4 linked regions of the Saccharomyces cerevisiae S288C genome follow. Changing the gene in region 1 together with any one later gene gives a genetic interaction. Each region holds a gene or a part of one and is shown on either strand. Other genes may lie near its edges. The genes, in order: OPI1, SDA1, UPF3 and COP1.

Evidence for each region.
Region 2: mutations in OPI1 (region 1) and SDA1 together harm fitness more than expected from each alone (negative genetic interaction), as found in Saccharomyces cerevisiae (2 studies listed by BioGRID).
Region 3: mutations in OPI1 (region 1) and UPF3 together harm fitness more than expected from each alone (negative genetic interaction), as found in Saccharomyces cerevisiae (2 studies listed by BioGRID).
Region 4: mutations in OPI1 (region 1) and COP1 together harm fitness more than expected from each alone (negative genetic interaction), as found in Saccharomyces cerevisiae (3 studies listed by BioGRID).

What each region holds. Positions count from the first base shown.
Region 1 is NC_001140.6:63,425-70,545, reverse strand, and holds OPI1 (transcriptional regulator OPI1), read left to right. Parts: upstream 1-3,089; coding exon 3,090-4,304; downstream 4,305-7,121. Other genes in the region: YHL017W (uncharacterized protein), read right to left, coding at 1-270; MCO14 (4a-hydroxytetrahydrobiopterin dehydratase), read right to left, coding at 476-838; APM2 (Apm2p), read left to right, coding at 998-2,815; AIM17 (Aim17p), read left to right, coding at 4,687-6,084; SPO11 (DNA topoisomerase (ATP-hydrolyzing)), read left to right, coding at 6,389-7,121. UniProt on the Saccharomyces cerevisiae protein: Negative regulator of the transcriptional complex INO2-INO4 in response to phospholipid precursor availability.
Region 2 is NC_001139.9:977,361-985,769, forward strand, and holds SDA1 (Sda1p), read right to left. Parts: upstream 4,709-8,409; coding exon 2,405-4,708; downstream 1-2,404. Other genes in the region: MPC3 (mitochondrial pyruvate carrier), read left to right, coding at 1-416; LSC2 (succinate--CoA ligase (GDP-forming) subunit beta), read right to left, coding at 676-1,959; transcription factor TFIIIB subunit BRF1, read right to left, coding at 5,122-6,912; CPD1 (2',3'-cyclic-nucleotide 3'-phosphodiesterase), read left to right, coding at 7,606-8,325.
Region 3 is NC_001139.9:629,974-637,136, forward strand, and holds UPF3 (Upf3p), read left to right. Parts: upstream 1-4,330; coding exon 4,331-5,494; downstream 5,495-7,163. Other genes in the region: Rho family guanine nucleotide exchange factor ROM1, read left to right, coding at 1-1,300; ENV11 (Env11p), read right to left, coding at 1,508-4,090; mRNA splicing protein SMD1, read left to right, coding at 5,739-6,179; U4/U6-U5 snRNP complex subunit PRP38, read right to left, coding at 6,174-6,902; mitochondrial 54S ribosomal protein mL59 MRPL25, read right to left, coding at 7,131-7,163. UniProt on the Saccharomyces cerevisiae protein: Involved in nonsense-mediated decay of mRNAs containing premature stop codons.
Region 4 is NC_001136.10:191,491-200,929, reverse strand, and holds COP1 (coatomer subunit alpha), read left to right. Parts: upstream 1-2,753; coding exon 2,754-6,359; downstream 6,360-9,439. Other genes in the region: chaperonin-containing T-complex subunit CCT4, read right to left, coding at 1-934; YDL144C (uncharacterized protein), read left to right, coding at 1,198-2,268; LDB17 (Ldb17p), read right to left, coding at 6,705-8,180; proteasome regulatory particle lid subunit RPN5, read right to left, coding at 8,669-9,439. UniProt on the Saccharomyces cerevisiae protein: The coatomer is a cytosolic protein complex that binds to dilysine motifs and reversibly associates with Golgi non-clathrin-coated vesicles, which further mediate biosynthetic protein transport from the ER, via the Golgi up to the trans Golgi network.

The sequences.
Region 1 (7,121 bases):
TTCTCCATTTGGTAACCGCACACCAATATGCTCATAATCTTGGAAATCAAACACAGCAACACTAACCCCCTCGCCATCATCGTCTTCATCAGCAAGTGACAATTCCTCCAACGTAAACGATATATAGGGGTCAACTTTTCCATTGAAATCCTCCTTGGAATACATCCCTGAACAGACATCGTGATATTTTTGATTTATGCTTTCTTGGTTCCCTTGAACTACCCCACAGAGTAGCAACAGCCACGTCAGTAATAGCCACGTTCTATCCATTTTTCTGTTCGCTAGTTATTGTGTCTAGTTTGCCCAAAAATGATTTACACAATACAGTTGAAATTTCAATACCTTTTTTTTCAATTTTCAGTTTTTCCATGTTGCAATGCGAGAATGGGTATGGGTAGCAAAAATTTCTAGTAGTAAAATCGATAGGAAAAAAAAAATGGAAAGAGCAATAGCCTTTTAGACCTGCCCTGCCTTATCAAGTTGTCATCTCATCGATGTAGGAATCTATTCTCTTGGCCATCCGGACGTCTATATCGCTAAGCTGGCTGTGAGCCCCGTCTTTCGGGTCTATGTCATGCGTATGAAGTTCCAGCTTGACCCAGGTGTAACTTGTGTGAATCAGGGGATGGTGGCCCCATAGATGAGATCTCATCGATACACGAGTCAAAAAGGCCCATGTGGTTTCGTAGTCCTTGAATGTTACCTCTCTTGTTATTCCCAAACATTTGGTCTTATTAGGGTCCCATTGAACTTCCCAACGGGTCAAGGGTTTTAGCTTCTCGAGTAGTTTGCCCCCTGTGAGTGCACTGGACGCGATTCTAACAATCTTGTTGTGCATTGTATTCTTACTTTGGTTTCTTTCTGCTTTTGGTAGGTTGTGTTTACTGTTTTATAACTGGAAGGGCTTAAATTCCAGATTGGAAAATTGAGAATGCCTTGGACAAAAAGCAAATAAAGGGACCCAAAAATAGTAAAGAGGAAATCAGGAAGGAAAGGCATGTCGTCAAGCCTTTTTATCCTGGATGAAAATCTGGAGCCATTGGTATCGAAGAATATTAGAGCACTACCGAATCTATCGTCGGTTCTTTCAAGTTTCAAACAATGTTATCATGACGGGTCGCCTCCAATTCTCTCCCAAAACGATTGGTTCTTTATACATTTGAAGAGAGACTTTCTGCATTTCGTTTCAGTGATACATACCACAGACAAACCAAATATAGACTTAATGACTATACTAGCCTTTTTGGAACAATTTTATCATCTTTTACAAAAATATTTTGAAATCGAGGTCTTAACTAAGAATGTCATACTGGACAACATCTTACTTGTCCTGGAGTTGATTGATGAATGTATAGACTTTGGTATCGTACAAGTGACGGATCCAAGTATCATCAAGGACTACATTCGTGTGAAGGTCAACGTACCAAGAGTTACAGTAGACAATGAGGAGTGGAGCCCTGGTGAAGAGAGCAGTAGTAGTAGCGGTAGCGATAGCGATAGCGAGTACAGCAATACTAATAAGAGGAAGGATAAGAAGAAGAAAAGGAAGAAGAAAAAGGGCACTAAAGGGAAAAGCGTGGGCAAAAGTAAATTAAAAAGTATAATGGTAAACAATAAAGAAAATAGGGGCATAAACGTGGTGGAAACTGTCAAGGAGACACTAAGGAACAAGAATGATACCGGTAAAGAAGCCGCTAATGACGAGCTCCCCAATGACGGTAATGATTTATACATCAATGGCGATATTGCGAAGACGATTATAATGCCCATATCATGGAGAACAAAGGGGATACATTACGCCAAAAACGAGTTCTTTCTTGATGTTATTGAACGTGTTCAGTACTTGATGGATTTTGAAAAAGGAGTGATTAGGAAAAATCTGATACATGGAGAGATTGTGTGCAGATGCTATTTATCAGGGATGCCCAAACTGAAAATATCCATAAACAAGATACTGAACAGGGACCCCCAGTTCATGTCGAATTCCAGCTTTCATCAGTGTGTTTCACTAGATTCCATAAACACTATTGAAAAAGATGAAGAAAAGAATAGTGACGATGATGCTGGTTTGCAGGCCGCCACAGATGCAAGAGAAATCGAATTTATACCGCCGGATGGCGAATTTGTTCTTTGCCAATACGAGTTGAAGAGACATGTAAAGGATGCGCCGATGGTGAGGTTGAAAGATTTTGAAATCAAACCTAAACTGAAGAAGTTTAAAATCCAAATTGTAACCAAAATTCAAACAAATTTTAAACCCACCAACTCAACGTCGAAGCTAAACGTGAGAATTCCCCTGACAAAAGTCTTCCAGGAATATAAAATAGACCTCAGCAAGCAAATTAGATTCAAGGCAAACATCGGCAAGGTCGTGTTTAACTTGAGTGACGATTTTCTCCTCTGGGAGATACAAACCATGAAGGGGCACCGAGAACATAGCACAAACAAGAGCTCACAGTACAACAGCGACGAAGATGATCCAAATACGTGTGCATCCATGGTGGCAGAGTTCCCCCTCTTCAACCAGGAAGAATATGACCGCCTGCAAGAAGAAATGAAAACCTCAATGAATCCGCCGCCCTTGCGCACGGGACCCAGGCTGGAAGAACTATATAGACAAGTGCACGACCAACAAACTTCCCACGTTACTCCTCGAGATAAGTTGGTCAACATTGATTTCGAGATTCCGTACTGTACATGCAGTGGCCTGAAAGTTGAGTACTTGAAGGTCGAAGAGCCACAATTGCAGTACCAGTCTTTCCCCTGGGTCAGATACAAGACCGTCAGCGACGAAGAGTACGCATATATTGTTTGACGCTTACGCAGACATCTCATAGATAGACAAATGGTACGTTCGTTTTAGTATATAGATGGCACCTTATAATCTTCATATGCAACCGGGTAAAATCGGGCGTTCTTATTTTTTTTTTTTCCACCTCAATGAGAGGGATTAATAAGAGGATTGGAGCAAGACAGCGATCTGCACTTAGCCAAGAAAGCATATCAGGCCAGAACGTGGCATTTTGTTTACAGTGCTGATTAAAGCGTGTGTATCAGGACAGTGTTTTTAACGAAGATACTAGTCATTGATGTCTGAAAATCAACGTTTAGGATTATCAGAGGAAGAGGTAGAAGCGGCTGAAGTACTTGGGGTGTTGAAACAATCATGCAGACAGAAGTCGCAGCCTTCAGAGGACGTCTCACAAGCTGACAAAATGCCGGCAAGTGAGTCGTCTACGACGCCGCTAAACATTTTGGATCGCGTAAGTAACAAAATTATCAGTAACGTAGTGACATTCTACGATGAAATAAACACCAACAAGAGGCCACTGAAATCAATAGGGAGGCTGCTAGACGATGACGATGACGAGCATGATGATTACGACTACAACGACGATGAGTTCTTCACCAACAAGAGACAGAAGCTGTCGCGGGCGATTGCCAAGGGGAAGGACAACTTGAAAGAGTACAAGCTGAACATGTCCATCGAGTCTAAGAAGAGGCTTGTAACGTGCTTGCATCTTTTAAAGCTGGCCAATAAGCAGCTTTCCGATAAAATCTCGTGTTTACAGGACCTTGTTGAAAAGGAGCAGGTGCATCCTTTGCACAAGCAAGATGGAAATGCTAGGACGACCACTGGAGCTGGCGAGGACGAGACATCGTCAGACGAAGACGACGACGATGAGGAGTTTTTTGATGCCTCAGAGCAGGTCAACGCCAGCGAGCAGTCTATTGTGGTGAAAATGGAGGTGGTCGGCACAGTCAAGAAAGTCTACTCGCTGATATCGAAGTTCACAGCAAATTCGCTGCCGGAGCCCGCAAGATCTCAGGTTCGGGAAAGTCTTCTAAACTTACCCACAAATTGGTTCGACAGCGTCCACAGTACATCACTGCCGCATCATGCTTCGTTTCATTATGCCAACTGTGAAGAACAAAAAGTGGAGCAACAGCAACAGCAACAGCAACAGCAGCAGCAGCAGCAACTTTTGCAGCAGCAACTCCTGCAACAGCAACAGCAAAAAAGGAACAAGGATGGCGACGACTCAGCCTCGCCGTCCTCCTCCGTAACTGCGAATGGGAAAGTACTCATTCTCGCCAAAGAATCCCTGGAAATGGTGAGAAATGTCATGGGCGTAGTCGACTCCACGTTGGGCAAGGCTGAAGAATGGGTGAAGCAGAAACAGGAGGTAAAAGAAATGATCAGGGAGCGTTTCTTGCAACAGCAGCAACAGTACAGGCAGCAACAGCAGAAGGATGGCAATTACGTAAAGCCCTCTCAGGACAACGTGGATAGCAAGGACTAACCGAGACAGATTGAGGTCTTTCATGCATTACCACCAGTAATAATATTATACGGAATAATATAGTTTATATAATATCCATAATCATAATCATAATCATAATCATAATCATAATCGTGATATTGTACCAGCCCCGCTTCTCCCCTTTTGAACTACCATTATTATCGGACCCTCTTTACCTTTGAATGGCTCAGTAAGGACCTTTGCGCAGCCGTAAGGGGGTCGGGAATACATTTCCGGGGTTGATCCTCGAGGAAAAGTGCTATCTATATAAGGAGAAGCCCTTCTAGATCCAAATATCAGGGGTAACTCTTCACAACTGGCCAGGAACATATTCCAAGTTAAAAAGAAAAAATAATTATTAGAAACCAATTACCAACACAAGATGCTAAGATCAAATTTATGCAGAGGATCTCGAATCCTTGCAAGACTGACCACTACACCAAGGACATACACATCTGCGGCGACAGCTGCGGCTGCGAATCGGGGACATATCATCAAAACATACTTCAATAGAGATTCTACGACAATTACGTTCTCCATGGAGGAGTCCAGCAAGCCGGTTTCCGTTTGCTTTAACAACGTTTTTCTTAGAGATGCCTCCCATAGTGCCAAGCTGGTGACCACGGGAGAACTGTATCATAACGAGAAATTGACCGCTCCTCAGGACATTCAAATTTCTGAGGACGGAAAATCTCTAGTGGTGAAATGGAAAGATGGCGGTCATCACCAGTTCCCTTTACAATTCTTTATCGACTATAAAGGTTCCAGTTTTGTTTCGCCAGCAACAAGAAAACAAGAATCCAGATATAGACCCCAGTTATGGAATAAGCGCATCCTGAAAGATAACGTCAAGGACTTACTTTCTGTGAGCTACAACGAGTTTATTGATCCTAAGGATGACTCCAAGCTTTTCCAAACGCTGGTCAACCTACAAAAGTTTGGTATCGCTTTCATTTCCGGTACTCCTTCATCCTCCTCTGAAGGCCTTACCATACAAAAGATCTGTGAAAGGATCGGACCCATAAGATCGACTGTACATGGTGAAGGTACATTTGACGTGAATGCATCCCAAGCGACAAGTGTTAATGCCCATTATGCCAATAAAGACTTGCCGCTACATACGGATTTACCATTTTTAGAAAATGTGCCAGGTTTCCAGATTCTACAATCTCTACCTGCTACAGAAGGGGAAGATCCCAATACTAGACCCATGAATTACTTCGTGGACGCATTTTATGCTACCCGTAATGTTAGAGAATCGGATTTTGAGGCTTATGAGGCTTTACAAATTGTTCCTGTAAATTATATATATGAAAACGGCGATAAGAGGTACTACCAATCCAAACCTTTAATCGAACATCACGACATTAACGAGGACAATACTCTTCTGGGTAATTATGAGGCCTTGATTAAATGCATTAACTACTCTCCACCATACCAAGCACCTTTCACTTTCGGAATTTATGATAAGCCCTCAGATCTAAATAATAATCTGGACTTGAATTTAATTACCACCCCAGCAAAACTAACAGAGAGATTTTTGTTTAAGTCTTTCATTAGGGGGTTGAACTTGTTCGAGAGTCATATCAATGACTTCAACAATCAATTTAGATTGCAGTTGCCCGAAAACTGTTGTGTTATCTTTAACAACAGGAGAATTTTGCATGCTAACTCTTTAACAAGCTCAAACCAGCAATGGTTAAAGGGTTGCTATTTCGATTCTGATACTTTCAAGAGTAAATTAAAGTTCTTGGAAGAGAAGTTTCCTCATGACAAATAACTTCATTTTTTCAGCATAGTTATGTGATTCTTTATATTTATTTATTTTCTCTCTGTGTAGTGACAATTTTTTTTTTAATGTTTCATGTTAAATATATTTATTTTAAGAAGCCGTCAGTTTCCTTTTGTTTCATTGAAATCAATAACTAAAATTAAAATTATAAAAGGAATAACGTAAAAGAAAGTCTACTACCCAAGGAAAATCTACTTTATTTAGTGATTATATCCAACTAAATATCATTCAAATAACCTCACATATTTGTCTTCACCCTTAAGATTTTACGATTTACTAAGTTCACCTTCTCATGGCTTTGGAGGGATTGCGGAAAAAATATAAAACAAGGCAGGAATTGGTCAAAGCACTCACTCCTAAAAGACGGTCCATTCACTTGAACTCCAATGGTCACTCCAACGGAACTCCCTGTTCAAACGCAGATGTTTTGGCTCATATTAAGCATTTCCTGTCATTGGCGGCTAATTCATTAGAGCAACATCAACAGCCTATTTCAATCGTCTTTCAAAACAAAAAAAAAAAAGGCGATACAAGCAGTCCTGACATTCACACAACATTGGACTTCCCTTTGAATGGCCCGCATCTATGCACTCATCAGTTCAAGTTGAAAAGATGCGCAATCCTTTTAAACTTATTGAAAGTCGTTATGGAAAAATTACCGCTAGGTAAAAACACTACAGTGAGAGATATCTTCTACTCCAACGTGGAATTGTTTCAAAGACAAGCAAACGTAGTCCAGTGGCTGGACGTTATACGCTTTAATTTCAAGCTCTCTCCAAGAAAATCCTTAAACATTATACCAGCTCAAAAGGGTTTAGTTTATTCGCCTTTCCCCATTGATATTTATGACAATATTCTGACATGTGAAAATGAACCAAAGATGCAAAAGCAAACAATTTTCCCTGGTAAGCCCTGTCTAATTCCATTTTTCCAAGATGATGCGGTCATCAAGTTAGGGACAACAAGTATGTGTAATATTGTAATAGTGGAAAAAGAAGCTGTCTTCACCAAATTAGTAAATAATT
Region 2 (8,409 bases), on another chromosome or scaffold:
CCTTTAGAAGATTTTGGAATAGTGAAACAGGCCCTAAAACAGTACACTTCTGGGCCCCAACTTTGAAGTGGGGGCTGGTCTTCGCAGGGCTAAATGATATTAAGAGGCCTGTTGAGAAGGTATCAGGAGCACAAAATTTATCTTTATTAGCGACGGCACTGATTTGGACGCGTTGGTCGTTTGTCATCAAGCCCAAGAACTATCTGTTAGCTTCCGTCAATTTTTTCCTGGGTTGCACTGCAGGCTACCATCTAACAAGAATTGCTAACTTTAGGATACGGAACGGTGATTCTTTTAAACAGGTTATTCACTACATAATAAAAGGGGAGACTCCTGCAGCCGTCGCAGCAAAGCAAACTGCATCCACATCGATGAACAAAGGTGTGATCGGTACTAATCCGCCAATAACGCACTGATTACGTAAACGATAATATGTTCCTGAACTCGCATTTTTTTAATGATTTTTTATGACCTCTTATATATTCTTTCATTATATAACCTCTATATTACATCAAAAGATGGAAAAATATAAAAAAATTAAAAAAAAAAAAAAGAAATTTTTTCCAAAAGAGTATATTTATATGTATGTATACATGTAGGGAAAATAAGAAACTTTATTAATAGTAAAAAAGCATATATACTTTATTATTAACTCTTTTGTTTTTCTCGAGAAGCTTAATTTTGGGTCAATTCAACGACCTTTTTAGCAGCAGGATCTAATTCATCAAACGAATAAATCTTCACGCCTGACTTATTGATAATGTCGCGGCCTTCTTCTACTTTGGTACCTTGCAAACGTGCCACAATGGGGACCCTAACTTCTAGTTCTCTGGCGGCTTCTACCAGCCCCAGGGCAACATAGTCACATCTTACGATACCGCCGAAAATATTGACGAAAATTGCATCTACGTTCTTATTGGATAAGATCAATTCGAAACCTTGTTTGATGGTCTCAGGGGTGGCACCACCACCACAATCCAAAAAGTTCGCAGGATCGCCTCCATTTAATTTGATGACATCCATAGTAGCCATAGCCAAACCAGCACCATTGACTAAACATCCAATGTTACCCTTCAACTTAACAAAATTCAAATCATACTTCTTTGCCTTAACTTCATCAGGATCTTCTTGTGATAAGTCCCTCCAGGAATATATCTTTTCCTGTCTGAATGATGCGTTATCATCAAACCCAAATTTGGCGTCTGTACACATGATTTTGTGGGTTGGATCATGTTCAATTTCACTCAAAGGGTTAATCTCCACTTGTGTAGCATCCCTTTCCATGAATATTTTATACAAATTGGAAACAGCTTTTGCTGCCTCGTCTTGTGCATCGGGACTGAAACCGAGACTCTTGGCAACATCCTTGGCCATTTGTGGGCTCAATCCCTTTGAAGTTTCAATTGAAAATTTCTTTATAGCATCTGGGGTTCTCTCAGCCACCTCTTCAATATTCATACCACCTTGACTGGACGCAATGATCATCGGTTTCTTGGTTTGTCTGTCCATTAGAATAGATAAATAAGCTTCATGCTTTGTATCTACTCTTTTCACTATATATACAGCAGATACTGGCTTCCCCGCTATTCCCGTCTGTTTAGTAATCAGGTTATGATTGAGCATTTCTTTTGCAACATCCTCTGCCTGCTGAGGACTTTCGATCATGTGAACACCGCTTTTGTAACCGGTGTCGAAGTGACCTTTACCTCTACCTCCGGTCAATGCCTGCGCCTTGATGACCAGTTTGTTAGTGTTTAATTTCTTGGCTGCTTCGAAAGCCTCTTCGGGAGTGAACGCTGGAAATCCTTCTGGAGTACCAATACCGTATTCCCTCAATAACTGAGCTGACCTGTATTCATGAATTGACAAGTGTCTCCTTGCTTGTAAAGCAGCTTGCGCGTTTAGCCTGCTTAATTGCCCACACTTTGAAATTAGGGATAAGGATTTTCTTGAGTACATTTTGTTCAGTTGCAATGCTTCAGTATTTTTTTCGATTGTATTGACTCAATCCTTATTAATCCTAACTACCTAAAAGTCAGTTACAAAAAAACTGGACTATCGCTCTATAGTCACTGTTATTTTTCGAGAGAAAACGTCAAAGTGCTGATAAGGAAAACGTCGATCTTATATAAAACCTCAAAGATGTTGACTACGCGGCAATTGAAAGGCCAACCAACTTTTAGAATACTCACTCCGCCGCTGCGGGGAAAAGCCGAGAATTCCCGATGAACACATAATCGATACCAGTTGGAGCATTTTTCTCTGTACCAAGACATAAAAAGAGTTTTTTTTAGTATCTACCTGGCTTTGGTGTTCCATTCAAGGTAGAGAAGTCCTCATACAGTTGGAGAGATGAATGTATCTGTGTATATGTATGTATATATTAATATGGCTACGATGTCGTCTAATACCCCTTCTTCTTTTGTTTGGTGATGTGTGCACGTAACACTTTTTGCTTGTCTCGTAGTGACATTTTTTGTTTACCTCTAACAGATCTCTTGTGAATAGACATAACAAAGTTCTTCCTTCTTTCTTTTTCTCTGTTGGTAGTAGAACGCATGTTGTCACGCTTACCGCGTCTACTACCAAATTTGTCTCTACCTTCACGACCTTCCAACACCTTTTGTAATCTTTCCTCACGAGACTGTTTGTATTTGATAGGGCCTGTTAGTGTACTTGCATCAACTAACTCTTCACGCTTGTCTTGTTTGTGGATACCCATTATTTTAGCAACGCTTTCCTCATTACGCAATTCTTGTAGTTTAGCGAAATCTGCCGGAGTTAAAATACGTGTAGAAGCAATTTCACGGAAGGCAGCTTCGGGATCTATATCTGCATCTTCTTGCTCATCCTTCACTTCTTTTTCATCGTCATCATCGCTTAGTTCCAAATCGGAATCTGATTCCTTGCCCTTAGCATTGTCTTTTTCATCGTCACTATCTTCCATATCAACGTCATATTCTTTATCACTATCCATGGTGACCCACTCACCGTCGACATCGTCTTCTTCGCTATCGACATCTACTTCCCAGTTGGCATCAGCGTCTTCATTTTCACTCTCTTCACCATGTTCTTTCTTCCATTTGGCTAACAGTTCGATACCAGCAATCCCTTGAACACTGTTGTCGGCACCAAATTGCGGTCTTTTTGAATCTTTACCTCCTTTCTTGGCTTCTTGTACTTCCATGGCGGCATTCTTACCACGATCCTTCTTCTTTAGCATTTCTGGTGCCACGTCTCTATACAACGCTATCAATGACTTGGCAGCCATATTGACACCTTTAGCTTTAGACCCCTTATATTCTACCAGATCCTGTAGTAGAATCTCATCGATAGCCAAAGGTGCACGAGAGCATATTTCTCTAATGGTATTAATGCCTGCAGCAGCGACTTCATTGGCAACACCGTCTGATACAAACTCGTCTGCAATCTTTCTCACCATGACATTTATAACTTCAGGAGGGACAAGATCATGACATGCTTGGGCACATGCGGACATAATTCTTGTAACATCTCTTTGTTTCGGAGTTAAGTACTTTAAAAAAAAAGTATAAATTCCTAAAACAATTAACTTATGGGTACCAATCAACCTTGATAACAGCTGCATCAAAGATATTTTTTGTTCCATGTCAAATTTGTTTTTCGTTTTGCCTGAAAGATGTTCCTTAAACAATTTTTCGGCAAATCCTTGTGGATCTCTCAAAAGGTGGATAGCACTGAAGTTTAAATACCCTTGAGGAGCACCCGGTCCGTTCTTCTTCTTCTTCTTCACAGTTTTTATGGCATTCTCCAGCTTCTTACCACGTCTACCCGTTTTTTTATTGACTTGCATCTTATGCCTTAATGCATCTAAATCAAACCCATCCTCATCCTCGGAATTTTCTTCAAAATTTTCTTCACGTTCTCTGTCAGCATCCAAAAAAAACATCACACCAGACATGACAATCTTAACATCCTGATGTAATGCTGCTTGGGTCATAATTTCTACTGTTCTTGAATCATCCCAAATACCACGTCTCCAAAGTTCTCTGGTTAATTTTGTGGCCCAGATTCCCTGGGAATCTGGTTGATCTAACAAATTAAAGCAAACGGCCTGCGTAGATTTGTTCAATTTTTGATTTTTACCATTAGTATTACAACTTTTTAATAAAGAAATTAAATTTGTATAAATGATTTTCCTCAATTCCTTGGCGTGTGAATTAACGCCGAGTGAATTACCATGGGAAGAGTAAGCAACCAATAAAGGAAATAAGCTTTGAATTAATTCCTCAGCAGTAATGACGTCCTTATTCCTTAACATCGTCAAACAACTTAAGATTTTTTCTTTCAATTCAAATGGCAAGGACTTATGGTGTTCCAGCAAAAGCTGCTTTAATTCAGACGGGAAGTTTGCAGTTTCACGAGGAAAACATGAGCAGACTTGAGATACGAAGCCAACCAATTCAATAAGTTGCGAAGTTGAAGTGCTCATGGTGGTACCGTTAGTACCTGCCATTGTAGAAGATCCATTTCCTACATCGAGCCCATTAGTGGCAGCTGCAGAATCACCTCCAGCAAGCCCATTTAACATAAAAATGTCCCTTAGCGATTCATAATGTGCATATTGTTGAAGAAACTCCTCTTGATAGGACTCTGGGTCACGCTTTACCAAATTCTGTAAAAGAATGATATTTGTTGGGAGCATAGCTGCTCTACTTCTTCTACCCATTGTTGATGCCCTTGATTGGTATATTCAGTGCGTCTTGTGCTTCCTCCTTAACTATTATTACTTATTCAAAAAAGTGACGTTTGATATGTTTTTTTAGTGGTAGAACGTTCTATCTGTTAAGCGTGTTATGGTTATCTGCGATGAGATGAGTTTAAAATTTTCATTTTTTAGCCGATCAAGCAAAAGAAAAGAAAAAAAAAAAAAACTGAAATTTCCACCTTACCCGTTTTTTTAATGGAACAGTGATTGTTACGACATTGAGATTTTAGATTTATATAATCACATACATATTAAATAGTTAATGCACCTTTAATTCTTTTGCACTTCATGTTCTATATATTTTAGCCAAAACCAAATGTATTGCGTCTTTATTTCCGTTCCCTTTTTCCTTCCTAGGGTTGATTACCTAAACGTTACCTAAACAAACCGTCAATGGCGTCGTAATTAATCTTCTTGGAGAAACTTGCCTTCTGCAACATGTTCTTGACACTATCAGCAGTTGTGAAATCACCACTTTCCTCAGCTGCCTTCAATGCAGCGTGTAAACCAGACTTATCTTGTAAGTCTGACATCAATCCGATAGCTGCTGCTGCATCCACAGTTTTTGTAGGTTCGTCACTTCTAGTATTATTCCTACGTCTCGTACGTTTTTTTTTCACTGATGTGTTACCTGTGGCAATATCTGCCTCCTGTTTCAAACGTTTACTCTCTTGTTCAAGTAAGAAATCTGCGTTCAGACCAATCCAAATTCTTTCCTTCAATTTAGAAGCTTCCTCGTTTAATAGGTGCGCGTTTAACTCCTCATCATCAACATCTTCTAAATTATCTGGGTCGTCACTAACTTTCGAAAGGTATGTGTCCGTTGTGGGTAACAAGTGTAAATTGCGAGGACAATATGGGTCTGTTTCTAGAGAGTAACCATCAATGGCATCTTGAAAATGCCCAGATTCGTTCTCTTTCTTTTCTTCTGATGTTTTTGTCTTTACCTTCTTGACTTTTTCCTCAGTCCCTTCCGTCTCTTTGTCTTCCCCTTCAACATGCTCGTTCTGGATAGAAACTTCAGAAAGTTTGCGTTTCCTTGTTTCGTTTTCAGAACCTTCATGGTATATATTTTCACCATCTATACCATTAGTAGCCTTAATCCTCTCCACAACACGGGCCCTTCTTTCTGAAAATTGTTTTAAGTAAAACAGGACTTCCTTGGAAGACAGTTCTTGTTCTCCTAATACTTGCGTCAAAATTGGATTTTTATTCAATGCTTCTTCACTTGTTTGAAACATCTCTTCTTTGTCTAAAGAGTCCTTTATTTTTCTTTCTTTCTTTCTGTTCTTCACAAAGGAGGGAGGCCTAGCCTCACCGTCTTCCACATCATTTTCTCTAAATTTTTGAACTGAAAGTTTAGCAGCCTTTGTATTTTTGAATTCGTTCAACCGTTGCTGTAAAGTTTCCTCGGCGACATGTGAAACTGCGACGATCTCTGTATGAGTTCTTCTCAAATTATTCATCCTGCAAGCTAGTAGAATACATGCGCCGGCAATACCTGCAGGTCTACGTCCTTCAAACATCCAGTCCTTGGACATTCTTTGAGCCAATTTTACGGCATCTTTTACCACTTTGATCTTCTTGTCAGCAAGATCCAATTTTTCGGCAAAATGTTGAATGAATAAGGAAGGATCCGCTAACGGCAATTCTGTGATATGTAATTTCTTTACCATTTTCAAAAATGTGGCTCCTATGGAATACACACTCACCTGTAACCTTGAAGAGAAGTCGATCAGCATATGATGCGTCTTTTCCTTTCTACATGCAACGTAAAGACATGAAGCGATAACATTTTGGGACCTACGACCTTGTACAAAGTTATTAGCCAATGCAAGCTTATACCATTGGAAAGCAGCATCTGTGATATATTCCGGGATATGTAATGCGTAAGAAACGGCGCGTAATTTCCTTCTTGCATTGTTCAATGTGGCTTCTCTAGATTCTAGAGCACTAGAACCACCAAATGCAGCATGACTTTGTCCTGCACCGATAAAAGAACCTTGTACTACAGCAGCACCTGCACTTGTTTCACCGAATGTAACTTCAGAGACGATAGGATTATCTTCTGAGACAACACCACAAGCTTTACAAACTAAATCGTTGTTAGCATTGGAAAGATCTCTCTCAAATTCGGTTCCGTGACAGTTCTTACACACTGGCATTGGTATATGACTATGGACTCTTTTTTATTACCGTTTTTACCATTGGGATTGTTCTTGATGCGATCAAAAATATGATTTTTTTTATCATACCTGATACTTCGCGAAAACCTTAGAATAGCAAATAAGGCCATCGCAACATTAATAGACAAAAATTAGAGTCACTTCACTTCGTTGATTTTTGATAGCGACGGCCGTGACCATTGCAAGATTTCTAATGAGGGGAAGAACAACTTTTCTTGTAGATTACCTCCACTTTAATCGGATGTCTTTTTTTACGTCCAAGAGTATTCAATGTCATCAAGATAGAAGCAAATTTTTCTAACACTAAATGTTATATTGCATCTGTATCAGTATATATGTGTATGTGGGAAGCCATAGTTCACTACTTCACAACTTTAAAAACAATCTATTTTCCTTTGTTCACTAAGTGATTTTGTAGGCGTGATCAAGTGCTTACCGGGGGGTTTTTATTTTTTTTAGGTTAGATCCGATGGAGAAGCGATGCAGGTGAAGTTTAATAAGAACCCAATTCGTAAGCAGGGGCACAAACAATCAAGAAGTTATCAAAGTCACTTTTGAGATACCAAGAATCTAATCAGATTATTTTATCATTTTATTTTACCATCAATTGTAATTATTCTAGTTTGGGAATTCGCGATACTTCAATTTGCTAATATCAGTAACCACAGAAAAATGGCAATAGCATTATGGTATTGTCCACCACAAGGATCAGTTGCTTACGAGACATTACAGATGCTTATATTTTCGTTTCAAACGTTGTTCCCAGATTCACCAGTTTTTGAACCTCATGTGACGGTAACGTCCCATTTGGTGTGCAATAGTAAAGATGATGTCAACAAAATCTTGACCTCCTGTGTTGCTGCCATCCAATCGATAAGGTCACACCAAACAGCAAAGAAAGGACGTAAGGGACAGGTATCCCATGCTGTTGCAGCTCCTTTGGTATCTTTCAATGGATGCAGTGTAGGTAAACAATATTTCAAGAAAATTGTGCTCGAGTGTAACAAGAACAAAATACTTTATGGGGTCGCACAAGTCATGAGAGAGATGTACGTAGAGATCGATCCTGAGACGCGAAGTAGCCGTGCCGCCACTTGGGTGCACGAGGAATTCCATCCTCACGTCTCATTGCTTTATTCGGATATTCATCCGGTAAGTCAGGCGTCATTGCGAGTAGTTCAACAAAGAATTGAAGATGCTCTAGACGTGCAACTAGTTCCAAGAGAGAAACGTAAGGGTTCCGGAAACGCTGATGGGTCCAATGAAGTGCAAATGAGATGGGATTTTGACGTATCTTCATCGCTATCTTGGAATATCCCAGGAACGTTTAAAGTGGTCAACTGTGTGGGGCCCGTTCAAGAATGGGAGGTATTGGGACGGGTGGACGTTTAAGCATACATTTATGTGCACTGTAAGTAATTATATAGAATTTTTTTTTTTTTTTTTTTTTTCATATCTGTCAATACTTGAAAATGT
Region 3 (7,163 bases), on another chromosome or scaffold:
AGCTGTAAACAAGTGGCACCAACACACTGTATTTCAGAGACCAATTCCACTCCCTTTACTGTTTATTTGTCCGGCTGAGGATATGCCACCCATAAAAAGATATGTGACAGAAAACCCAAATTGCTCAGCGGGTGTGCTCTTACCCCAATATCAAACGAGCAATCCCAAGAATGCTATTGTATTCGCCTATTACGGTACGAAACAACAATATCAAGTTACTTTGTACGCGCCGCAGCCGGCCGGATTACAGACATTAATAGAAAAGGTGAAACAAGAGCAAAAAAGGCTCCTTGATGAAACTAAACATATTACTTTTAAGCAAATGGTAGGTCAATTCTTTCACTCATACATAAATACTAATCGCGTCAACGATGTCCTAATCTGTCATGCTGGTAAAATTTTATTGGTTGCAACAAATATGGGACTCTTTGTTCTTAATTATGCTACATCGATCAATCAAAAACCAGTGCACCTTCTGCACAAAATATCAATTTCACAGATCTCTGTATTGGAAGAATATAAAGTTATGATTCTTCTAATTGACAAAAAACTGTACGGCTGTCCTTTAGACGTAATCGACGATGCAGAAAATGCAGATTTTCTTTTCAGAAAAAATTCTAAAGTGTTATTTAAATATGTTGCAATGTTCAAAGACGGTTTCTGTAATGGTAAAAGAATCATTATGATTGCACATCATTTTTTGCACGCCGTACAATTATTGATTGTTAATCCTTTGATATTTGATTTTAATAGCGGTAATTTTAAAAAAAACCTAAAGGCAGGCTTGGTAGATTTTAGCGTTGATTCTGAACCTCTGTCCTTTTCTTTTTTGGAGAATAAGATCTGCATTGGTTGTAAAAAAAATATCAAAATATTAAACGTACCGGAAGTGTGTGATAAAAATGGATTTAAAATGAGGGAGCTTTTAAATCTACATGATAACAAAGTTTTAGCGAACATGTATAAAGAGACGTTCAAAGTAGTTTCCATGTTTCCGATAAAAAATTCAACTTTTGCATGTTTTCCAGAACTCTGCTTTTTTCTCAATAAGCAAGGGAAGAGGGAGGAGACAAAGGGATGTTTTCATTGGGAGGGGGAACCAGAACAGTTCGCGTGTTCCTACCCTTATATTGTGGCAATTAATAGTAACTTTATTGAAATTAGACATATAGAAAATGGAGAACTTGTCCGCTGTGTACTTGGAAACAAGATACGTATGTTAAAATCATATGCCAAGAAGATCTTATATTGTTATGAGGATCCTCAAGGATTTGAAATTATCGAACTGTTAAATTTTTGAGTTGACCGCCCATATTAATACCTTAAAACTTATTTCTTGAACCTATACATCTAAATTTAAGTAATATTATTTTATTTGTATAACCATATGTAGTTTACCTGAAATATATGGGTGCCATTAAGAAAATATAATACAATGGACAAGAATTTTGTCCTAGAAAATAAAGTCTTGAAAGTATATTGTCCTTTCCTTTGGAATATTATGTCACTAGCAAGCATCGAAAATTGATCCAGAGTGAAAATTAATTTTTTCGAGATTAAACTGTGAATTCAAAAGTTTGATTTTAATTGTTTCCTCACTCAACTTGGTACTGAAGTCTTGATTAGCTGTTAGAGAAGATAATTCTGACCGTATTGAAGATGTCGAATTTACTGAAAGCAACTGAAGTAAAATATCGATTACTTCAATCTTGTTTTTACTGCTTATGTAATTATTCCAAATTGAATCCGAGATAGGAATATGAATATCAAATGTCTCTTCCATGGGATTTAGGCACCATTCCCCCGAGTTAGAGTCGTTTTCCTCAGATAACTCATGTTTTGTAAAGTGAGATCCATCGAAGCTAATATCATTATCATTTAAGTAGTCATGGTATGCATTAGGCAGCTCATGCGCAATTCTGTTGACATAGCGTAATAGATCATCCCGAATGATTTGGACAAGTAATGAATCTTCTGTTAGTGGTGCGGTTAACTTGGTGTTACATAAAAGCTCTACGTCCCGTGATTCTTTCATAAAAATGGCCTCGTAGTCAGAAAGAAGATTATTACCGGAATTCCGACCGCTCTCCCCACCACTATTAGAGGAACGAAAATTAGTTATATTGATAAAGTTTTTAAGATACCTTAGAACAATTTTGGTCATGTTATGAACTATTTTATTTACCGATGTTGTGCCAAAGATTTCATTTAGAAGGCTTTTACTTTGGAAGATTGATGGATACAGGAAAGCACCAATCAAGTTTACATCATCAAGTAAATAAAGGTCTTTAACTTTTAGAAGCCTTGCTAGGATTTTTTCAAAGGGCTTTTTAGATTTGGTGAATTTGAAGCTTCGTATAATCTCTGTCAAATATAACTCAAACTTAATGATAAAAACCAAGGTATGGGTAAATTTCAATGGAGCGGAAGAAGCAAAGTACTCAATTGATTGCTCGAAAGTTCTTAACGTCTCTTCTACCGTGTTTATTAGACGAAAATCGGATTCACTAAGTGATTCATTTTCTAAATGAGAGTTGATAGACTTGAAGAAAGGAACTAAGTTTGCAAATTTTTCTAAGATACTCTTCAAAGCTGAAAATCTATCGCAGTTACAGGAAAGGATTGAAGTAAGTTCATTGCAGTTAGGTTGTGTATAATTTTGGCAGTATAATAGGAAATCCGATTTTAGGGAGTCGTTTAAGTTAACTTCTTCTATCAAACAGCATATTTTGCCGAGAATAGTAGATGATAAATCAATATGGGAAAAATCTATTAATGAGTCTAACAAAGAGCCTCCTGAATGATTTTCTTTGGCCACAGAAAAGGAAGACAGCATTGATTCAGTAGGAACATTAAACAACGGCTGTAAAAAACAATGAAGTAATTCAGATACTATGCAAGTATGGTACTTTATCTCCCTCACACTCCCGCTATGGAAAGTAAAATTATGACTGTTTCTATTCTCTAGTACCATTGTATAATGGCTTTGAGGCAAAGTTATAGAAATCACCGATTTTTGTAAGCCAGGGTATTTCGAATACAAATTGTTGAGCTGTTCCTGCCAGACACTAATATCTATATCCGTTGTTTTACGTACAAAAATAGATAATGGTAAACCCTTCGAAACTTTGTTGGTATTATCGAACAGTTGCAAAGAAAATAATGATCTTTTTCCAGCCAGTTCTGTAAAATTTACAGAAATAAGATGGGATAAGTCCAAGTTAGACAATTGTGCCCGAATTTCCCTAGAATATTTCAAGTAAAGAGGTTGATTTGATTCCTTACTATCGGATAAATGGATAGTAAAGGGTAATTGTGTATCATTCCTTGATATAGACCTTCTGATCAACTCATCAATTGATTTTGACAACCCTATAATTGACTCCTCTATTATATTGGTAGTTAAAGGAGGGATCCTATGAAATTTTGATAAAAGAGATTTAAAGGACACATTCTCAAAGAAGTTCAGCGGTAAATTTTCTGAGGCTATGACTATGGCTACTAATTGGGAAATAGAAAGGTAATTACTGCTCTGTAATTTTCCTATGTCAAAGCATTTGAAACTTTGGTCGGAATTGAAGGTTAACGAATCATAGCCGTGTCTACGTGTAATTTCTGTGCTGGAAGTATTGTTTTTGAGATTGGAGTCTCCTACTGTGAAATTCATGGAATAGAAGTTTTTATTGGCACTTATATTATGCTTTGTTTTCAAGTGAGATCTAAAGGTTTTTGTCAAACTTGCATCGCTTCTTGTTAGTATCTCTCCACAATGTTTACATTTAACTTTCGTTAATTTCTTTTCAATTGCTAGAAAATGGGACCAGAACTTTGCTATATTCTTCTTGAGCATTTGAACCGGAATCCATATATTTAACCCATCATTTATGATTTCGTCTTCCGGATGAATTCTACTTGATAGGATTTTATTGCCGTCTTTTTCTATAAGTTCTATATCCTCAGTATCGTCTTCTTCCTCGTCTTCCTCCTCATGACTAGTAGAGTGAGAAGATGAATGATCAGAATTATTGATGATTTCGTTATCTTCTAAAGTCACCAAATCCCCATGTAAATCATCCAATGCAGTGTTCATATTAATGATTGAGTAGATTGGTACATATGCTATTTCGGAAGACTTTTGTTATTCTATGGTTTATCATCCCTTTATTTATTTTGTGTATTGTTTGCTGATCAAAAGTTGAAAATTTTTCGCCTAAAAAGTAAGATACAAAAGAAAATATTGTCGATGATTATTGCATGAATATATCAGCAAAGAGGAAAGGAAAACCTACTGAGGGACTTACATTTCTGCTGAAATATATAGTAATCTATCATGAGCAATGTGGCTGGGGAATTGAAGAATAGTGAGGGGAAAAAGAAAGGCAGGGGAAATAGGTATCATAACAAGAACAGAGGAAAAAGTAAGAATGAGACGGTAGATCCTAAAAAGAATGAGAATAAGGTTAATAATGCTACTAATGCTACCCACAACAATAGCAAAGGCAGAAGGAATAACAAGAAAAGGAACAGAGAGTATTATAACTATAAAAGAAAGGCTAGATTGGGTAAATCAACCGAGAATGAAGGATTTAAGCTTGTTATTAGATTGCTACCTCCAAATTTGACTGCAGATGAATTTTTTGCCATCTTACGAGATAATAATAACGATGATGGTGATAAGCAAGATATCCAGGGTAAACTCAAGTACAGTGACTGGTGTTTTTTTGAAGGTCATTATTCTAGTAAAGTATTCAAAAACTCGACATATTCTCGGTGCAATTTCTTGTTCGACAACTTATCAGACTTGGAAAAATGCGCAAATTTCATTAAAACTTGTAAATTCATTGATAATAAGGATAATATTACAATTCCAGATATGAAACTGTCGCCCTACGTAAAGAAATTCACTCAAACATCAAAAAAGGATGCCGCGCTAGTAGGAACAATTGAAGAAGACGAAATTTTTAAAACATTTATGAATTCAATGAAACAGCTGAATGAAAATGACGAGTACTCATTCCAAGATTTTAGCGTATTGAAATCTTTAGAAAAAGAATTCTCAAAAAGCATAGAGTTAGAAAATAAAATAGCAGAAAGAACAGAAAGGGTGTTAACAGAGCTGGTTGGAACTGGTGATAAGGTCAAGAATAAGAACAAAAAGAAGAAAAATAAAAACGCCAAAAAGAAATTCAAAGAAGAGGAAGCATCCGCTAAGATACCAAAGAAAAAACGGAACAGAGGCAAGAAGAAGCGTGAAAATCGTGAAAAAAGCACCATTTCTAAGACCAAGAACAGTAATGTGGTTATTATTGAGGAAGCGGGTAAAGAGGTTTTGAAACAAAGGAAGAAGAAAATGCTTTTGCAAGAGAAGTTAAAAATATCAAACTCCTCTCAGCCTCAGTCATCATCCGCTCAAACCCAGCCGTCGTTCCAACCTAAAGAAAACCTTTTCGTACCACGGGTAAAAATTTTGCATCGTGATGATACCAAGAAGTAGTAAAAGCTCATGGCTTCTTATATATTATATATGGAATACATTTATAATAAAATAATAAGAATTATATATTTTATGATTATATTATTACATAAAGTATTCCCCATTATAAATTCTGAGTTTCGTATTTAATGATTTTTCAATGAATATTTAAAATAATAAAATATATGAAATGTTCATATACAATGAAATTGTCATGAAGAAAGATGACTCCAAGTATCGTTTATAAATCGTCGAGAAAAAGATTATGAAGTTGGTTAACTTTTTAAAAAAGCTGCGCAATGAGCAGGTTACCATAGAACTAAAAAACGGTACCACCGTTTGGGGTACACTGCAGTCGGTATCACCACAAATGAATGCTATCTTAACTGACGTGAAGTTGACCCTACCACAACCCCGACTAAATAAATTGAACAGTAATGGTATTGCGATGGCTAGTCTGTACTTGACTGGAGGACAGCAACCTACTGCAAGTGACAACATAGCAAGTTTGCAATACATAAACATTAGAGGCAATACCATAAGACAGATAATCTTACCTGATTCCTTGAACCTGGATTCACTTTTGGTTGACCAAAAGCAACTTAATTCCCTAAGAAGATCGGGTCAAATTGCAAATGACCCCAGCAAAAAGAGAAGGCGCGATTTTGGTGCACCAGCGAATAAAAGGCCAAGAAGAGGTCTATGATTCGCTGCTGGTGTCGTTGTCATCTTCACTGTCACCATTACTTTCGCTTTCGCTAGAACTACTCTCTTCATCAGAGTTGTATATTTTATTCCATTGACATTTCCCTAATGGAATACCCCAGATATGGTCCTGTGTGGCCAACCAATCGACTAATTCATCAATGTGTATTATACAAAGTTCTTCGTTATAGGAGTGAGCAAAGCAGTCTACTTGTAGTGGGAAACTTTTTAGTTTGAAATAATGCTGTGAATATTTGTATAATTGTACTTTAAATAACTTTATCAAATCATTTTCATCATCATCGTTTTTGTTATTGCCATTCAAATAATAATACTGTAACCGCGCATAAACCAGAAGCAAAGCAATAATATATTTCGAGTCAAAACCGTTCTCATTTTTTACATTCAATAAGAAGTTCAACTGCTGGAAATTCGGTCTGATTTCGATTAACTTCATTAAGATGCATTTAAACTCAATGCCACCGAGAACCATCATGTGTAAATGACCATTTTGACCTTTTATGGTACCAAATGCGCCAATCATAACTTTCAAAAGCTCTACCATTGTATTGCCTCTCAAAGATTCGTTGCTTAGATTTACTTTATAGTACATTGAATTATGAATTTTATCTCTTGTCAACCGAGGAATAACAAGTGACACTGACTGGTTATTCAGTTGTTTTGGAGAGATGTTAGACTCCACTTGAAATTCATTGACAGCCATTGTAGTCCTTGTTCTTTACCCACGTTTTGTTTTTGTTCTTGCGTTTTTACTGCCACTGAAAATATAGCGTTGTAATGGCTTTAGATTTTACTTTTTTTTATCATAATTCTTGTTCAGAACGTTCGTTATTGATATCACAAAATTATTTACATGATTAGACATTAAAAACATAAAACAGTACACATAGGGTTTACTATTCTAAACTATAGTTATCTTCTCTCTTATTCTTCAGAACCAGCCTATACTTTGGTTTTTTTTCAT
Region 4 (9,439 bases), on another chromosome or scaffold:
CCATTATGTTCAATTTTGACAAGAAATGAAGAGCCAAATCATTTACCGCATCTCTCAAGATGGATTTCTGAATCAACAGCACGTTACACTTGGCCTTTTTAATTTTTTTACAGATATTTAGCAAATACGCTCTTTCTTCTTTAAGGATCTTATCCATTTGTCTATAGTCATTAACGATGATATTATTTTCTGTGTCGGGCTTTGGAGGAGATATTTGGAATTGAATTAACCCAATCTTTGCTTTTTCCTTTCTTGTCGGACCACCAGCAGATTTGATTGCCGTTTGTGTCAAGACCACACCATCTATCATTTCTGTGTCATCAATGGTACCACCAACTTTTTTGACCAGTCTGATATCGTTCAGGTCAACATTCTTAGAGTTTTCATCAGATATCTTCAATACGGAGTCCACTGCCAAGGGCGCCAAAAACGAAGAGTATTGAGACACAATCTTGGAACTCAAAGAAGTGGATGCAGCACGAACCAGCTGTTCTCTATCGCTCAACGAAACCTTATGGCACATTTCTAAAAGAATATCGACAGATCTCTTCGCAGCACTTTGAAAGGAGTCCGCAATGATGGTTGGATGGATGCCCTTGTTTAACAGCCTCTCAGCAGCACCCAATAGAGCTCCGGTCAAGATCACCACAGAAGTGGTACCATCACCGGCTTCCGAGTCCTGCGCGGCAGAAACCTCTACTAGCATTCTGGCCACCGGATGCAGAATGGCCATCTGTTTTAGAATGGTGTGGCCATCATTAGAGATGATGATTTCTCCACGAGATGTCTTAATCATCTTGTCCATACCCTTGGGACCCAATGAAGTACGGATGGCATCTGCAACAGAACGTGCAGCGATGATGTTGGCTTTGCGAACCTCTTGAGGTTTTTCCTTGTTCTTAAACGTGGCGTTAGATGGAACTTTAGCAGACATCGTTCTATACTCTCCTTTACCCGTCTTGCACACTTGCCGCACCTCCAATTACAATTCATAACCTTCATGCCCACTTAGCTATATCAACCTCTTGAACTGTATTCAATTAGCCTTTCTTGGTGGCGAAACGAAAAAAATTTCAGTTTCCCCGTGGCAAGTGATAGTAATACCAAATTATATAGCCTTAATTAGGACATATTGATATACCTCATAAACTACAGTCCCGGTGCCAGGATACAAGTTGGCATAAGCTAATGTCGAAAATGTCTAGAATACTAGTTATCGGGGCAGGTGGCGTTGGGGTCATTACTGCGCTTTCGTTGTGGCTTAAGAAGGAGAGCGACGTTTCCTTGGTAGTCAGATCTGACTACGATAGGGTATTGAAGCATGGCTACACAATCGAATCATGTGACTATGGCCGGTTAGAAGGTTGGAGACCCCACCATATTTACAGCAGCGTCGAGGACGCTGCTTCTGCCGCAGACAACCAAGGATACAACTATATTGTAGTGACTACCAAGAACATCATAGATGGGCCCGTTAATTCAAGGGTGTCCAACATCATCAGACCTGTGCTTGAGAAGAATAAAGAGCTACATGGGCCGCAATTGACGACACACATTTTACTGGTACAGAACGGAATCGATATTGAGAAGGAGATATGGGCGGAATTTCCCAGAGAGCAGTATCGTTACACGGTGCTTTCTGGCATCCAGTTAATCGGATCCACTAAGATCGGGTCAGGCCATATCAGTCAAGTGGGCCAGGACCACTTATCGTGTGGAGCTTTTGATCCACAGGACGCTGCTGCTATCCAGGCTGCCAACGACTTCGTCAGGATGTACAGCAACGAGGGGCAAAACTTTGTCGAATTTGACCCTAGGGTCCGTTACTCTCGGTGGAAGAAGTTGCTCTACAATGCAGCTATCAACACATCCACGGCACTTGTGGGGCTAGACGTTCCGCGTTGCCTGGAGTTTGGGGTTAACAAGAAGAGCACAGAAATTGAAGTGTTCCACCCTGCCATGAGGGAGATCATCGCCATTGCGGCGAGTGAAGGCATCATTATCGAAGAGGAGTTCATAACGATGTTTACAGAGATTACCAGGAAAAAGGTGTTCAAGCCATCCATGTGCGTGGACTGCGAGAAGGGCCAATTGATGGAGCTAGAAGTCATCCTAGGCAACCCCATAAGAATCGCGAAAAGAAACGGCGTCGCTACACCCACTCTTTCTATCTTATACAACCTACTTGTGCTAGTACAGGCCAAACTAAAGGAGCGGAAAGGCCTATTGAAGTTCGACGAAAAAACTGCCACTCTTGTGGACGAGTAGTTCCAACCATTGCTTGCCTCGTTGACGAGCCTTCATCTAGTATATTGTAACACATAATTTAGTATGTACTCTTAACTATTATTCTTATTGTCAGCATTTATACGACGTACAGAGCGACCGAAAATTTCGACAACACGAAACGAAATCGACAATTTGCCAACTTGAATAAATAACAGATCCGTCTTCGAGACTGTGACGATTGAGCCTCGATTCAGTAGCATACAGGGACCACAAACTTGTTTGAAGAGGCATTGCAATTAGGTAAATCATAGAATTGGCGAAACCAGCAGGATTTTCCAAACATTTGTTACTTACCCCCTTCTTTGCTTAAGATATAAAGTTTTTTCTTTTTATTTTATCTTCCCTTTACACTTTTGAATAAAAACATTATCATACCTGTTTACAAATTCGCGGTTTATTTAACCTGAAATCAGTATACTTTTTTTCTTCTGTAGTGTCTTTGTTCATTTCATTACTGGATCAAGATGAAGATGTTAACTAAATTTGAATCAAAGTCCACTAGGGCCAAGGGCATTGCCTTCCACCCCTCCAGACCTTGGGTTTTGGTGGCTTTGTTTTCCTCTACTATTCAATTATGGGATTACAGGATGGGAACACTACTTCACAGATTTGAAGACCACGAGGGCCCTGTTCGTGGGCTAGATTTCCATCCAACCCAACCGATTTTTGTTTCGGCAGGTGACGACTATACCATTAAAGTTTGGTCCTTAGATACTAACAAATGTCTATACACCTTAACTGGGCATTTGGATTATGTCCGTACCGTGTTTTTCCACCGTGAGCTGCCTTGGATCATATCTGCTTCTGATGACCAGACCATAAGAATCTGGAACTGGCAAAACCGTAAGGAAATTGCATGTTTGACCGGCCACAATCATTTTGTCATGTGTGCTCAATTTCATCCAACCGATGACCTGATCGTTTCCGCTTCTCTGGATGAAACCATCAGAATTTGGGATATTTCCGGTTTAAGGAAAAGACACTCCGCTCCTGGTACTAGTTCATTTGAGGAGCAAATGAGTGCACAACAAAATCTATTGGATGGCTCTCTTGGTGACTGTGTTGTCAAGTTTATTCTAGAGGGTCACACAAGAGGTGTCAACTGGGCCTCTTTCCATCCAACTTTACCATTGATTGTCTCCGGCAGTGACGACCGTCAAGTTAAATTATGGAGAATGAGTGCTACGAAAGCTTGGGAAGTTGATACTTGCAGAGGTCACACTAACAATGTTGATAGTGTTATCTTTCACCCACATCAAAACTTGATCATTTCTGTCGGTGAAGACAAAACGCTAAGGGTTTGGGATCTTGACAAGAGAACTCCAGTAAAGCAATTCAAAAGAGAAAACGATAGATTTTGGTTGATTGCAGCACATCCTCATATCAATCTATTTGGTGCAGCTCACGATTCTGGTATTATGGTTTTCAAGCTCGATCGCGAAAGACCATGCAGCTTTATCCATCAAAACCAGTTGTTTTTTGTCAATGCGGAAAAGCAAATCCAAAGTTTCAATTTCCAGAAAAGAGTCGCTTCATTACCTTATGCGTCCTTAAAGGGTATTGGTCAACCTTGGGATGCATTCAGAAGTATATCGTACAATCCCTCCCAACATTCAGTTTTGGTTAATGAAGCTAATGGCAAATTTGCTCTCGTTATTTTACCAAAACAACCAGTTGGAGCTGTGGAGCCAACAAGTGTCACCCAAGATACAGGTAATTTTGCTACTTTTGTTGGTCGTAATAGATTTGTTGTTTACAACAAGAACACTGAATCTGTTGAAGTTCGCTCTCTCGAAAACAAAGTTACAAGAAATATCAAAGTAGAGGAAACAGTAAGAACTATTGTAGCTGCAGGTCCTGGATCTGTTTTGGTCATACACCCCAGAGAAGTTATTCTTTATGATGTCCAACAGGGCAAAAAAGTATCCCAATTGGCTGTTAAAAACGTCAAGTACGTTTCGTGGTCCTTAGATGGTCAATATGTTGCATTGATGAGTAAGCACACCATAACTTTGGCTACCAAAAAGCTAGAATTGATTAATTCTATGCATGAAACGATTAGAATCAAAAGTGCCGCTTGGGATGAAACTGGTGTATTAATTTATTCAACTTTAAATCATATAAGGTACTCACTATTGAACGGGGATAGAGGTATTATTAAAACTTTGGAGAAAACTTTATATATCACAAAAGTTCAGGGAAAATTAGTGTACTGCTTGAACCGTGAAGGTGAGATTGAAATTTTAACCATTGATCCTACAGAATATCGCTTCAAAAAGGCCCTGGTTAACAAAAATTTCCCAGAAGTTTTACGTCTGATAAAAGATTCTAATTTGGTTGGCCAGAATATCATTTCCTATCTGCAGAAGTCAGGTTACCCAGAAATTGCTTTACAATTCGTTCAAGACCCACATATCCGTTTTGATTTAGCTTTGGAATACGGTAATTTGGATGTTGCCTTAGATGAAGCCAAAAAACTGAATGATTCTAGTACTTGGGAAAGATTAATCCAAGAAGCCTTGGCACAAGGTAATGCCAGCTTAGCTGAAATGATTTATCAAACTCAACATTCTTTTGACAAACTTTCCTTCCTGTATTTAGTTACAGGTGACGTTAACAAACTATCTAAAATGCAAAATATCGCTCAGACTCGTGAAGACTTTGGAAGTATGCTATTAAACACCTTTTACAACAATTCAACCAAGGAAAGATCTAGCATTTTTGCAGAGGGCGGCTCTTTACCATTAGCTTATGCCGTAGCAAAGGCTAACGGAGATGAAGCGGCTGCTTCTGCTTTCTTGGAGCAAGCTGAAGTTGATGAACAAGATGTTACTTTACCAGACCAGATGGATGCCTCCAACTTCGTTCAAAGACCAGTGATCTCAAAGCCACTTGAAAAATGGCCATTAAAAGAGGCTGAACTATCTTACTTTGAAAAGGCTGTTTTAGGTCAAATTGACGATTTGACTATAGACGATGAAACTCCAGCAGTAAACACCACTCAAGAGCAAGAAGAACCACTAGGCGAAGAAAACTTTAACGATGAGGATATTGGTGAAGACGAAGGTGCCTGGGATTTGGGTGACGAAGATTTGGATGTGGGAGAAGAGTTACCTGAAGAAGTTGAGCAAGGCGAAATTACCTCTCCAGCACAGGAAGTTGAAACAGCCATTTGGATCAAGAATTCTAAACTGCCTGCTGTCCTAGTTGCCGCTGGTGCCTTTGATGCCGCTGTTCAAGCCTTGAGCAAGCAAGTGGGTGTAGTCAAGCTGGAGCCATTGAAGAAATATTTTACCAACATTTATGAGGGTTGTAGAACATACATTCCTAGTACGCCCTGTGAACTTCCTGCTCAATTAGGTTATGTCAGAGCGTATGATGATACCGTAAGTGAAGATCAAATTCTTCCTTACGTGCCAGGTCTTGATGTCGTTAATGAAAAAATGAATGAGGGTTACAAAAACTTTAAACTAAACAAACCAGATATTGCAATCGAATGCTTCAGAGAAGCTATCTACCGTATTACGCTATTAATGGTCGATGATGCTGAAGATGAAAAATTAGCACACAAGATACTGGAAACTGCTAGGGAGTATATATTAGGTTTATCCATTGAATTGGAACGCCGCTCATTAAAGGAGGGAAATACTGTACGCATGCTTGAGCTAGCTGCATACTTTACAAAGGCAAAACTATCCCCAATTCATCGTACCAATGCTTTACAAGTGGCTATGTCCCAACATTTCAAACACAAAAATTTCTTACAGGCCTCATATTTTGCCGGTGAATTTTTAAAGATTATTTCTTCTGGTCCTCGTGCAGAACAAGCACGTAAAATCAAAAACAAAGCCGACTCAATGGCCAGTGACGCCATTCCAATTGACTTTGATCCTTATGCTAAATTCGATATTTGTGCAGCCACCTACAAACCAATTTATGAAGATACACCTTCCGTTTCTGACCCATTAACAGGTAGTAAATACGTTATCACGGAAAAAGATAAAATAGATAGAATTGCTATGATTTCTAAGATCGGTGCACCTGCATCCGGATTAAGAATACGTGTATAAATGCTATTTTGCCTATTGATTTTCTCGGGATTGTATTCTGCTCGACCTAAATTTCATGTGACAAGTCCTTTTAATCTAAACAATATGATAGTGAAAAAAAAAAACTGACTATGTAATTAACAGTTATATACAACTTCTAAAATAAAAAATATCGCCTATTTTAACAAGTGACACACAACCTGAAATTCTGCCAGCATGTATTCGGAAGCAACCCGAACTTTAGTTTTATAGTTACGATTGTTGCATTTGTATATAAAAAGTACAATGTGTCATTAGATACTGCAGTGAGTAGAAGAAGAAATGGTCGGAAGAACCACATTAATGCAAGAAGAAATAATGCTTTACTTATTTTGGAGTTCCACATTTTCTTGATGGAGGAGGAGGAGGAGGCGGAGGCGGAGCTTTAGCCTTTCTTTTAGTCAAAGATTCTGCAGAAACATCTAATTCACGATTACTATAAAGATGGCCTTTACGAGCCAAGATATTTTGATTGTCGGGCGTCCCCAATGCAACAATGCTAGAGTTTCTACTAGTGTTATTACTAGAGACCGATGAACCTCCATCTGAAGGCGTTGAAGGTGTCTCTAACCAAGGAATTTGTTGAAGACACTTCCGAGATAAGGCCACTGTAACTTGATGCTCGTGCAACGCTGGACTGTCAACGCATATATTATCTAAAGTCGACAAGTAGTTTAATAGTTTATTCAAATCATCCTTTCTATAATGTGTTTTGGATAATTGTGTATTCTTTAATAGCGGAATCAGAACCCTTAGAAGGGTGTTTCTCAATACCTCTTCATCCTCACTGATATTCTGTAGTTCTCTGATTAATACATCGATAAGAACACGTAAGTCGTTTGTATAAAAGAAATTCATCGGAGAGTAGTCTCCTCTTGGTGTCAAGATAAGATAAATAATTTTGCACATCATAATTTGTAACGGAGGGTCCGATGCCCTATTGAATTTCAGTAATAATAGCTCCGTAAAACATCTTGAGACAGACCCATTGATCAAATACTTATAGACCTTGTTCTCAATGTCGTACTCCTTGGCAAACATCATATATTGTTCGTTCAACGCCAACAGCAGTTTAAACTCCGCGTTATTGAACATATCGTCCATAGTGTCGGACCTCATTGATTCCATCATATAGTAAACAAAAAAGTCATCCACAATTTGAAGATTAGCAATAACACACTTACAGTACTTCATAATTTGAAATAACAAATCCATCAAAACAGTTGAAATTTGCTTCATTTCGTCTATAATACCCAAATCAATATCAGTCAAACTTCGGTCTAAACTGTCCAAGGATGTACCTGTGCTAGAATTATTAGAATTGTATTGATGTTTAGAAGCAACTGTCCTTTCCTTTCCGTATTTGCTCAAATAGGCGAATTGTGTGTACAAGGTATTATAAAACACAGTAAATCCTTGGAACTTGAGCATGATTTCTAAGGAGTACACGTTTTTTTTCGCCTCACAGAGAAGAATGTAAACAATAATGAACTTCATATTCATTTCCAGTAGGTCTATGTTGAGTAACGACTGCAACTTACTTAGGCAAAACTCTTTTTTAAATTCAAATAAGGACGATTCTAACAGTATTAGCGACATCCGGTAGAGGTCACGATCAGTATTAATAAAAACCTTATAGGAATCAGTAGCAAACTTCAGGTAGGCAACCAGGCTTGAGTTAACATGGGATTCATCCAAGTTTTCCTTTGGTATGTTAGCAATAGACTCAGTTTTTTCCCAAAACTCAATTATTTCATCTTGAGTATGATTTTCAATATTTGGAGATAATGGATCTAATATCATGAGTCAAAATGAAAGGAAAAATGTTCGAAGAAAGTATAGGCTAAAGTGACATAAGTTAATCGAAAAAAAAATATTCAAAGTTTAATTCTTGTTTACTAAATGAAAAAAATATTTCACTGTTTAAAGATATGTCTATAGGTGTAGTAATTAATGTTCAGAGTTTTGCTAATCAAACGAAAAAATGACTCTTTACGCTGCTATTAATGTCATTTAAATACCATAAACAGTTTACCGTTTTGACTTTTCACTTTTTTTTTGGGTGTCTTCTTTCCCCTGAAAAATTGAAAAACTAAAATTCCATTAATTGTCACCTTATGTTTTGTGTAAGCAAGTGAAGAGAATGAGAGCAATACGTGGCCATTTTCCATTTGAGTTATATATATGCATAGATAATTTTATCTCACGTACGTAAATACACATTTCGATTAGTAACAGATTTAAAATCAAAACCGGATCTGAGATAATCCGACACTTACTCGAAAATCTCTTCATTTAGCTTGCAAACCGTGCATGATTTCCTCTTTTGTAATTAAATGGCCTATTGTTTCTATATGTTCTAATAGTTCGTCAACATTATGTGACCATTCGTTCAATAATTGGCTTGAGTTTTTTGGTTTTTCAAAATTCACGATTTTGGCTGGGCGATTAACTTTAGCGTATATGATGCCCTGGTTTACCAAATCACTGATGTATGTTTCCGTCTGGCTCTCCGTTAGGTCCAGCAATTCATTCAATCTTAGTAAAGTAATTCTGGAATAGTATTCGGAAATGACTCTTAAATTGTGCTCGATGACCCTTTTTTGTAAATCTTCCCAGTGATGCTTATTAGCTTCTCCACCAAATGCCAAATCATCCTCATTTAAGACGGGCTCATAGGTTTTTTGAACAATTGGCCATCTCATCAACTCATTCGTAGTAAACAATTTTACTAAAGATTCTTGGCTTTCTAATTTTTTCAGGTTGTTATCATTCTGGATTTTGTGAATTAAATCATTTTGTAAATTGCCGTAAGGTGAAAGGACTAAGAAATATACAATGTGCGATAAAACAGGTTTCCACTTAGCCTCATCTGATTTAATGGCGTCTGTTTGATAAATTTCTTGCAGATACTGCGCAACTTCTAGGTATTCTCTCTTGTGCAAACTAATTTTTACCAGAAGATTATAATATTCTAGCTTCAATGACTCGTATTTTGGATTTTTAAAAGTTTTTTTCAGAATTTTTCTTGAAAGCACCGTGGCTTGGGAATAATCACCTTT